Cricetulus griseus: one gene and its partner. The protein of the gene in region 1 purifies or fractionates together with the protein of each later gene. This does not show direct contact. Links are inferred from orthologs where the notes say so. Each region holds a gene or a part of one and is shown on either strand. Other genes may lie near its edges.

The links. The genes of interacting proteins can lie anywhere in the genome.
Region 2: the proteins of Slc16a11 (region 1) and Emb purify together in Homo sapiens (co-immunoprecipitation; 3 studies listed by BioGRID and IntAct, counting the BioPlex papers as one, with this or other methods). This does not show direct contact. The link is inferred for Cricetulus griseus from reciprocal best matches to the Homo sapiens genes SLC16A11 and EMB.

The regions. Positions count from the first base shown.
Region 1 is NC_048600.1:84,036,883-84,041,943, forward strand, and holds Slc16a11 (monocarboxylate transporter 11), read left to right. Parts: upstream 1-1,887; 5' UTR 1,888-2,168; intron 2,169-2,268; 5' UTR 2,269-2,413; coding exon 2,414-2,615; intron 2,616-2,857; coding exon 2,858-3,001; intron 3,002-3,252; coding exon 3,253-4,020; intron 4,021-4,102; coding exon 4,103-4,332; 3' UTR 4,333-4,379; downstream 4,380-5,061. UniProt on the Homo sapiens protein: Proton-linked monocarboxylate transporter. It catalyzes the transport of pyruvate across the plasma membrane.
Region 2 is NC_048595.1:334,932,895-334,937,933, reverse strand, and holds the start of Emb (embigin), read right to left. Parts: upstream 3,255-5,039; coding exon 3,146-3,254; intron 1-3,145. UniProt on the Homo sapiens protein: Plays a role in the outgrowth of motoneurons and in the formation of neuromuscular junctions.

The sequences.
Region 1 (5,061 bases):
ATTTTCTAACCCATGTGATTCTACTAAAACTCACTGGATTAATGTGTTTCATTGACCTTGAACTTACTAGATCAGTTTGAGTCTGAAGTAGCCACCTGGCAAAGGGAAACAATGCTATAGAGTCCAGTTAAATTGCCCTGAGTTACTGTGGTAACCATGGGGCTAGCACACATCACATTCAGACACTGTTCTAAGTCTCTTTCACATGCATACACCATGACAAATTTAATCCTTTTAACAATCCTATCAAGTAACTATTATTATAACCATTTTTAAAAATGAGGAAACAGATACTTGTTTGCCATCAGATAGCTAAGACATAGAGCTGAAAGTCAGGCTCAGTATTTCTTGTTGGGAGTCCATTTTTCCAAAGCTGCATTAACTCCACGATCAACACACAACTCTGGCTAAGAACATAGGGTAGAAGAGGAATGTGCTGTTACAGGCTTCTGGGGCTCAAATCCTGCCAAAGTGCACAGCATTACCTGGTACAGCCCAGACCTAGAGGCCCCCGTCTCCTCCCTGCCTATATTTCTACTTCACCATGGAGAAAGCAATTCCTTTCGGTTGGCCTGGTTCCTCACTAGCCTTCTCGGAAAACCAGTTCCCTGCCTCCCTGGTGACCTGCAGGCTCCACCACCTCAGTGACTTTCACAAAGTCAGCCCCTGGCTGGTGAAACCAGTGAGGGCACTTTCCTAAAGTGTATGTAGCAGGACCTCAAACCTTCAAATCCTCCTGTACGAGGGCATTTCATCAAAGAAAAACAATGTATGCTAAAACCTAGAATTGAGAAGTGTAGACCGGAGTAGGGAAGAAGCTAATTCCCCGGGGTGGGAGGGTTGGATGGAAAAGTAGCTTGGCTTGCCCTTGACGATTGTGGGCCTTACCCACAATGGTGAGCCTCTGAAAATCTGTGCACTCTTTAGCCTTCCAGCATCACAACTTTTGAGCTATACTTTTCTTTCCTTTCTAGGTAGATGCTTTCTCATTCATTAGGAAACACTGCCATCCTGTGGCTATGGGTTGATATGTGCTCCAACCAGCAAATTGCTGAAACTTCAATGGCATTGTTTAATGATTAAACCAAAGAGCACACCTATTGAGTCAAATGGCTGAAGAAAAGCAATAGTGACCTGTAAAGAGGGATGCTCGCTAGAGTCTTCAGCAATCTAACAAACAAAACAAAAGACATCTGGCTTAATTTCTCTGAATTATTCCCAGCCACCCTTGGTTTAGAATCCTACGCACTGTGGTTCTGCATAGACGCTGCCCTTTCCAGGGCAGTTCACATCAATCTGTCTCCAGGCTATTTCCCTCGACTGTGGCAGGCTGTTATCACTCGTTGGTCTTTTCGCCCTGTATCCTCCCACTGTGAGCTAAACCTAAATTCAAATATTTCCACTTTCTTTTTTTGAAACTGAACGATTTGGGGAGGTCACCTAACCCAAACCATCAGTTACTCCATTTGTAAAATGGGGATAACACCTTCGTCATAGGGATATTGTAAAGATGAAATGACAAAGTGTGTAAAGATTGCCTGGAACATCTCCGGGCTTGGTACTGGAAATTATCTTCCCCAGAGGGTTTGCTAGTGTTGTCCATTGGAGGCCAGTGATTAGATGTCGGAGGTTTACAGGATCCTCCCCAACAACCCGAGAATCGAAGAACTCTTTTAGGCTTTGGAGATCACCCACCGCTATTTTCACGCGTGGGCAGCTGGCCGAGCAGGGATTGCAACCCGACTCTTCTTGCGTGCGCAGCCGGCTGCAGGTGCGTGGGCGTGAGCCCCGCGGCGCCGGGAGGCGCGGGGAGGGGCGGGGCGCGGCCACCCGGCACACTCATTCCGCGCGGTTCCCTATCCAGGACCGGGGGTTGTGTGTGGATAATTCAATCCCCGTGGGACTCGGCGTCAGGCCTCGGCCCAGGCTTGGTGGATTGGCTGTCTCGCTTGCCCGCCCTCAGCACTCACACCCCCACCCCCACCCGCGTCCCAGGTGGCTCGGGCCCCTGTGGTGATCTCTGTTTACGGAGAGAGCCGGCCCAAGTTGGGCTCCATCTCTGCACTGGCTGGCTGCTCTGCAGAATCCTGCCTGCCTGGAACCCGCGGGGAAAATCCGGCTGAACCCACCTTCGCCCTTTCCCTACCCCCAACGCCGGGAGAGGTCGGGTAAGAGAAAGAGGGTTTGGGAAGGAGGAGCCCCCGGCCCGGGGGATCCTGCTGCCCCCCATTCCAGGACCTCACGCGCACCCAGGACTTCTATCCCCAGGCCTGGTTCCCGCGCCCATGCTCGGGGCGACGTGCCCACCCTGGGCGAGCAGCCCGAGGCTGGATCTCAGGGACGTCAGCTCCCTAGCGGAGGCCCAGGCGTGGAGACTTCATTCACAGGTGTTTCCCCACCCCAGCAGACGGCGATGACCCCCAAGCCAGCCGGACCCCCGGACGGGGGCTGGGGCTGGGTGGTGGCGGCCGCAGCATTCGCCGTGAACGGGCTCTCCTACGGGCTCTTACGCTCCCTGGGCCTTGCCCTCCCCGACCTCGCGGAGCACTTTGAACGAAGCGCCCAGGACACTGCGTGGGTCAGCGCCCTGGCCTTGGCCGTGCAGCAGGCAGCCAGTGAGGGGGGGCCCTCGAGGTGGGAGGCGGGAACCGGGTGGAGAGGCCGTGAATGTAGTGATGGGAGACAGGAGACTTGATTACCAGACAACCTGAGAGCTACTGGTGGAACCAATTTCTAGAAGAGTGGGTCTTGAGGTCAAAGGGAGGAGTTACCAGGCCAGACAAAACAGCCAATGAGAAGTGTTGGAGATAGTTTGGGGGTCCTGGGGCATGTCTTCGTTGACTCCGCCCCCTTCTAGGCCCAGTGGGCAGCGCCCTGAGCACTCGCTGGGGGGCACGCCCCGTGGTGATGGTTGGGGGCGTCCTAACCTCGCTTGGCTTGGTCTTCTCGGCTTTCGCCCGAAGCCTGCTACACCTCTACCTCGGCCTGGGTCTCCTCGCTGGTAAGAAGAATGGGATGCCCGTATGCTACAGGGGTTATAATGGGGACAGGAGCTTCTTGTGGGGTAGGGGACCAAACCAGGAGGAGAGAGAGAGAGAGAGAGAGAGAGAGAGAGAGAGAGAGAGAGAGAGAGAGAGAGAGAGAGAGAGAGAGAGAGAGAGAGAGAGAGAGAACGCGTGGAGAAGAGAAGCAGGGCTAAGGAATGCTAGGAAAACCATCCTCATACCCTCATCCTGTCCTATCCATTTGCAGGCTCCGGCTGGGCCCTGGTGTTCGCCCCTGCCCTGGGTACCCTCTCTCGGTACTTCTCCCGCCGTCGGGTCTTGGCGGTAGGGTTGGCGCTCACCGGTAATGGGGCATCCTCGTTGCTCCTGGCACCTGCCTTGCAGTTCCTCCTTGATACTTTCGGCTGGCGGGGTGCCTTACTCCTCCTTGGCGCTGTCACCCTCCACCTCACACCCTGTGGCGCCTTGCTACGACCCTTAGCTCTCTCTGGTGACCCCTTGGCCCCACCTCGAACCCCCTTAGCTGCCCTTGGCCTAGGTCTCTTCAGGCGCCGAGCCTTTTCAATCTTTGCTTTGGGCACCGCCTTGATTGGGGGCGGATACTTCGTCCCCTATGTGCATTTGGGTCCTCACGCTTTAGACCAGGGCATGGGGGGTTACGGGGCAGCGTTGGTGGTGGCTGTCGCTGCAGTGGGAGATGCGAGTGCCCGACTGGTCAGCGGATGGCTAGCAGACCAGGGCTGGGTGCCCCTTCCGCGTCTTCTGGTTGTGTTTGGGTCTCTGACTGGGTTAGGGGTACTGGCAGTGGGACTAGTGCCCACTGCGGGGACAGAGGAGGGTTGGGGGGCTCCCCTGCTAGCTGCGGCTGGAGCCTACGGCCTGAGCGCCGGGAGTTATGCGCCACTGGTTTTCGGTGTGCTCCCGGGACTGGTGGGCATTGGAGGTGTGGTGCAGGCTACAGGGCTGGTGATGATGCTGATGAGCCTCGGGGGACTCCTGGGCCCTCCCCTGTCAGGTAAGGGCAGAGTCTGGAGATTCGCTTAAGACTTCTGCCCCTGGGATGCCGGGCCTCTAAATTCCTTTATCCCTCTTCTCAGGTTTCCTAAGGGATAAGACAGGAGACTTCAGTACCTCTTTCCTGGTGTGCAGCTCTTTCATCCTCTCTGGCAGCTTCATCTACATGGGGCTGCCCAGAGCCCTCCCAACCTGCCGTCCAGTCTCACCTCCAGCTACCCCTCCCCCTGAAAGAGGGGAGCTGCTCCCAGTTGCACAGGTCTCCCTGCTCTCGGCAGGGCGCGCTGACTCCTCCCGGGATACCGCTTGTTGATAACTTTCTCATTTGAGCCCCTTCCCTAATAAAGGATTTTTATCTGACTCTGTTGAAAAACAAACAAACTAGCTGAAAACAACTGGGCCCCAGTGGCTCTGGCAGTAAGGAAGGATGCCTGTCCAGTCAGTTTTCCTTTGCTCAATCCTTGCCTTAAGAGGGTCTTTGAGAAGTTGTGAGCTAGTCATTTTCAGTTTGTTAGGGGACATATCCTAAACCCCATACTTTACATTTTTATTTATGTGGGTATGTGGAGGCCTGATCTCTTGGAGCTGGACTTACAGGCAATTGTGAGCTGCCTGGTGTGGACACCCTGAGCCAAACAGGTCACCAGGAGGAGCAGCAAGCAATCTGCTGAGCTCTCTCTACAGACCTACTTTTAAAAAGATTGACATTTATGCTATATGTGTGAAAGTTATATGTGTTATATGTGTGAAAGTTATTTGTGTGAAAGTATGCCCCATGTATATGGGTGTCCACGGAAGTCAGAAGAGGACACCAGATCCCCTGGATCCGGATTGATAGGTGGTTGTGAGGGTGGCTCTGGCCCTCTGGAAGAGCGGGAAGTGCTTTTAACTGATGAGCCTTTTTTCCAGCTCCCAAACATCATACTTCTTCTTGAATTTGATTTGCCTTTGTTAGCCTGAGAAAAACAAAAATCCACGTGGGTATGGTTGTGAGTACCTGTAATCCCAGCACTTGGGAGGAGGCCAGGTCTCAAGTTCAAGA
Region 2 (5,039 bases), on another chromosome or scaffold:
TCATTCCTTCAGTTTGTTACATGTGGTAATACCAACAATGACAGCAAAATATTCCTGCTTACATAATGTTTCTTTTACAAAGATATTTTTAAAATTTTTTATTTTTTTGGCTTTTCGAGACAGGTTTTCTCTGTGGCTTTGGAGGTGTCCTGGAACTACCCCTTGTAGATCAGGCTGGTCTCCAACTCACAAAGATCCACCTGCCTCTGCCTCCTGAATGCTGGGATTAAAGGCATGCCCCACCAACGCCCAGTGACACCCCTCCTCCTTTTCTAATTAACAAATAAAAAATATCTTTGTAAACTGGGCATTGGTGGCGCACACCTTTAATCTCAGCACTCAGGAGGCAGAGGCAGGTGGATCTGTGAGTTTGAGGCCAGGCTGGTCTACAGAGTGAGTTCCAGTACAGCCTCCAAAGACAGAGAAACCCTGCCTTGAAAAAACAAAACAAAAAGTGAGAGGGGCTGCTGAGATGACTCCGAAGGCAAGGGCACCCCAATGCCAAGCCTGACACCCTGAGTTCAATTCCTAGAAGCCACATGGTAGAAGAAAAACTACTCTCAAGTTGTTCTCTGATGTTCAGGAGCATACTGTAGTATCCAGACATGATCGAACACATGTATGTACATAAATACACAAAATAAATAAAACAATTTAAAAAATAAGAAAAACAAAAATACTTGAAGAAGCCAGTAATTCACTCCTCGAGCCTTACTGACTTCATTCCAGGACTGAAAAGTGCTTATGTCCTTCAGCTCCTAACATACGTGCACTCTCTCTCGCTCACTCTCTCACTCTCTTGGTCAGTGGTTCCAAATTCTCCAGGGCACACCCAGTTATCTCACAGAGAACTGCCTTAAGAAAACAGGCTGTGGAGTCAGACTAACTTCAAACTTTCTGCTCTACTACTAAACATTCGGGCAATTGCTTAACTGAAACCCCAACTTCCTCTTTGAAAAATCAGAGAAAATAAACTCTTAACTCATCAGGCTACACGCTGCATAGTACAGTAGCTGGCACAGAATGTAAGTACAGGAACTTATACCCAGTTTATTATTGAAGTTTGCCCCCAAAGTCGTCTTTAAGCAGAACAGCTATTTCTAAGTAGTTAAAAGGATAAACACAAAAACCATCCAGTAAACCTTACAGTATTTTTTTTAGCAAAGAATAAGATGAATCTCATTCAAATAGTGGATATAGAAAGTTCTGTAGAACTGATGACGGGGTGTGTGTGTGTGTGTGTGTGTGTGTGTGTATGCGATTTGCCTACATCTATGTCTGTACCCAGAAAGGCCAGAAGAGGGCATCAAATAGGATTCCCTGGGCCTTAAGTTACAGAGCTACCATGTGGATGTTGAAAATTGAACCTGGGTCCTCTGCAAGAGCAGCTTAATTGCTGAAAATATGGCCACTTTGGAGGTTAGCTTCAAAGTAGATGCAGATGCCAGGCCTTTCAAATGCATTATTTGTTTCATAGCTTTCTACTGAGTGGGGGCTGTGAAGAAGTCCATGTCCTAACCCTAACCCTTTGTCATTGGACACAATCATTTACAGCTTCATCTGCTTCCTGGTTTCCTCCCCTTAGAAGCCAGGTGTGGATATTAACTTCAACCACATGCCGGCAGAGTAGCTACATTCTCAGGGTCTTATGTGATGTTAGCCTGCTTTGACTCACACGGAGAATTTTCAAAACCACTAAGGCCCAGACTGACATCTATGCTAAATAAATCAGGTTTTCCTAGGGCAAGACCTGGGTATCAGTCTCTTAAAACTCTCCTATAATTTATAACTGCTGCCAAGTGGAGCACCAAACTTCTAGGACTGACTCAAACAACACTGGAGAGTGAATGGTGGAGCTGCTTCTTTCCAGGCAGAAGGTCCAGAGTTCCACACTCAGAACTGAGGGGACAGAAATGGAGAGGGAAGAAAATAGGAAAGGAGAAGGGGGAAAGGGAGAGAGGGGGAGGGGAGAAGGGAAGGAGAGAAAATGAGACGGAGGACTGGAAGTGGGCTAGAAAGAGGAAACACTCAGAAGCAAATGACGGTGGATGAAAGTAGAAGAATCAGGCGTACCTAGGAAGGGCGCGGGGGGGGAGGTGGGGGGTGTCCATGTCCCGGACAATTATTTCTAAGTCTTATGATGGAAACCAGATGTGGAGCAAGAAATTCCACGGACTAGCGGAATGCAAAAGGGTTCACCCAAGTTGTGTGTGTATCCTTTTGATTATTTTCCTTCTTTATTGCATGTTCGACCAGTCGACATGCTCATGAAAATACTCTATAATAGCTGAAAACCTTCTGTAGAAGAATGTCTGGCCTCAGTTTCCAGTGGGCCAGTCCCTCAACTGCTTGAGCGGTTAGTGATAACTTAAATGAGAGCTAACCCTTCAGACACAGGAACTTGCACTGAAAAGCAGGTTACACGGACCGCTTGCAACACAGAAAATATAAACAGGTGAGCTAAGACGGCAAACCCGATCTTGACTTTGGGCAATGTTTTTCCACCACATAAATCCTTCTGTTGACATGCCTTAAGCACGCAACCCAACACCCTCGGGAAAAAAAAAATGTTTTGTTTTGATAAAGACCCTAGTGTAAAGACAAGACCCACGAATAATTCCCATATCTGGGCTTGACTGAGTTGGCTGAGTGTGGTGAATTTTACCATCTGCTCTAAAAAACATCCTCAAAGCCAACACCTGCCAGGAAGAAAGGTGATCCGAGGGCCTCGCCGTGGCCTCTAGTGAAGGGAGTTGGCCTCGGGAATGTGGACTCATAATGCCACAGTAGCAGAAGCCAAGCCCCAGCATCCCCCGCACGAACCCACGCACTCTATTAGTCCACTTGGTAGGAAAAACCCGACCCTGTCCCAGTACCAGCTGCGGGATCAAACTGGGCTAGAATGGGACCAGATCACCCCTAGACCCGGCGGACCTGGAGCCACCCCTGCTCCCACGTTTCCTCCTTAACCAGCGCCCAGCCAATGAGAGGCCACCTCCGCTCAGCTCCGCAGCCTCCTGCGCCCGCATCCCCGCAGCCCCTGCGCGAGCGGCAAAGGATGCCCTCGGGCTGGAGGGTCGCGGCTACTGCGACGCTACCCGTACGCATAGAGTCCTCCCCGGTGCCGCCCCGCTACCCCAGGTACCTGTGGGGTCGCCTTCTGCCCAATACGGGCGCGTCGCCGCCAGAAAGCACAGAAGCAGGAGCCGGCAGTCGGGCGCCACAAGCGCCCTCAGGCCAGTGAGTGAGCGCATGACGCGGGCGAGTCGGTTCTGGAGGTCTCTGTTGCGCCCTTGGCTTGCTGCGATCCGTCTCCTATCTGTCGCTGCGCGCACTTGCTGGTAACCGGGCGCCCACTGCCAGTCCCGGGGCCAGGACACGCGAGAAAAAGCGGAGTGGGAGGGGCCCGACCGCCCTGGCCTCCTCCCCCGAGACGCTCCCAGCGCACCCGAGGCCGGCCCAGCCTTGCGCCGGCCCTTCATCAATTATGCAGCCCGCTGCAGGCGCGCCCGGATGTGCTGTGTAACCCCTGCAGCAGCATCCTCTCCCGCCCCCACCCTCTCGACTTGCCCAGGTTGGGGAGGCAGCTAGCTAATCGAGCCAGCCAGGTGATGTCTAGCCCATCACCTCCGGGACGTGTTCCAACTCCCTACAGACTGTTCTTTGCATCCGTTGGGTGGGTTCGCTTATTTACTTTGATGAGACAGGTGGAAATGACAGGATATTTCTGCTCCTGTACATCTTTAGATTTATTTTTGCCAAACCCGAGGCGCTATCCTGTGTCCCTGAGCCCGGAACTTAATGTTCCTGGGAGCTTCCTATCAGTCATTCACACCCTCCCCCAATCTCTGAAGGTTTAGCTAGTTCCCTCCGGATTAAGGTTTCAGAGTCCCAAGGCCCCGTAGTGTGTCTCCTTTTGTTTGCTCGTGGCAACAGTTTTCCTGGCGCCAAAGAGCTCAAGAAACAAAAACTAAGTAAAGGGGTACTATGTAAACTGCAGAAGGCCATTCACCTTTGTCAAGCATTGTGGAAAACAATGTTATCTCTTATCTGTGAGGGACCTGAGGTTGGAATTTTCTTAAGTCTTTCACCAAATGAATTAAGATAATTGAAAACCATTGTTTTGCTGGTCAGGGGAGAAGGATCCTTATAGTCTAACGCAGCAGCCTTACTTAGCAGTCCTTACTGTAGGGACCTCCAGGTAAAACTGGAGGAAGGAATTTCAGAATGAGACGGTGAGAAGCACAGCTGGAGTTAATTACAAAGGAGTTTTGCTCAGGGTAGATTTAAATTCGAGGGTTAATACAAAGGATAAAACGCACCCGACACCGTGGGGAGTGGGTGGTAGTTCAGAGCTGTGTCTTAACATTAACCATCCGTACCATTTTGGTGACTATCAAGTTACAGCTCAAAGGACTACTAAAGAAACATTTTTTTTTTCTTTTATCCCGCTTTTTTGTTAGGTGAAATTAGAGGGTGGCTCCAATGGTGCCTTAGGTGGAATTACAATCTGATAAGATTCAAAGATAGACTGCAAGCCGTCTACTGGATAGTTAGATCACTTCTTTTTGCTGTAAATAGGGTTTCATGTGAAATTGCTGGAAAACTTCAGGTTTATACATGGAAAATGAGAAAGGCCATATACACTGAGGCGTTGAAGGGTGATGCATTACTTCTTTTACATTTTTATTTGAGGTGTAGGAAAGGCCCTAGCAGGCCCAGGCCTGACAAACATGGTTCTGGCAACCTTGCCCATCCTCCTTCCCTCTCCCTTGTAAACCGTAGATTACAACCCTAAAGCAAGCCCCCAAAACCTATTCCCTTGTTTAGCCAATTTCTCCTTCTGAGGCTGACTATCAAGGTCCAGCTATCAAAGTATTGACATCCAGCAATCAAAAGCCCCCTTTGGTTCACCTAATTAATATGTCCAATGGAAAAAAAAAAAAAAAAAAAAAAAAAAAACGGGCGTTGGTGGCGCATGCATCCCAGCACTCAGGAGGCAGAGGCAGGCAGATCACTGTGAGTTCGAGGCCAGCCTA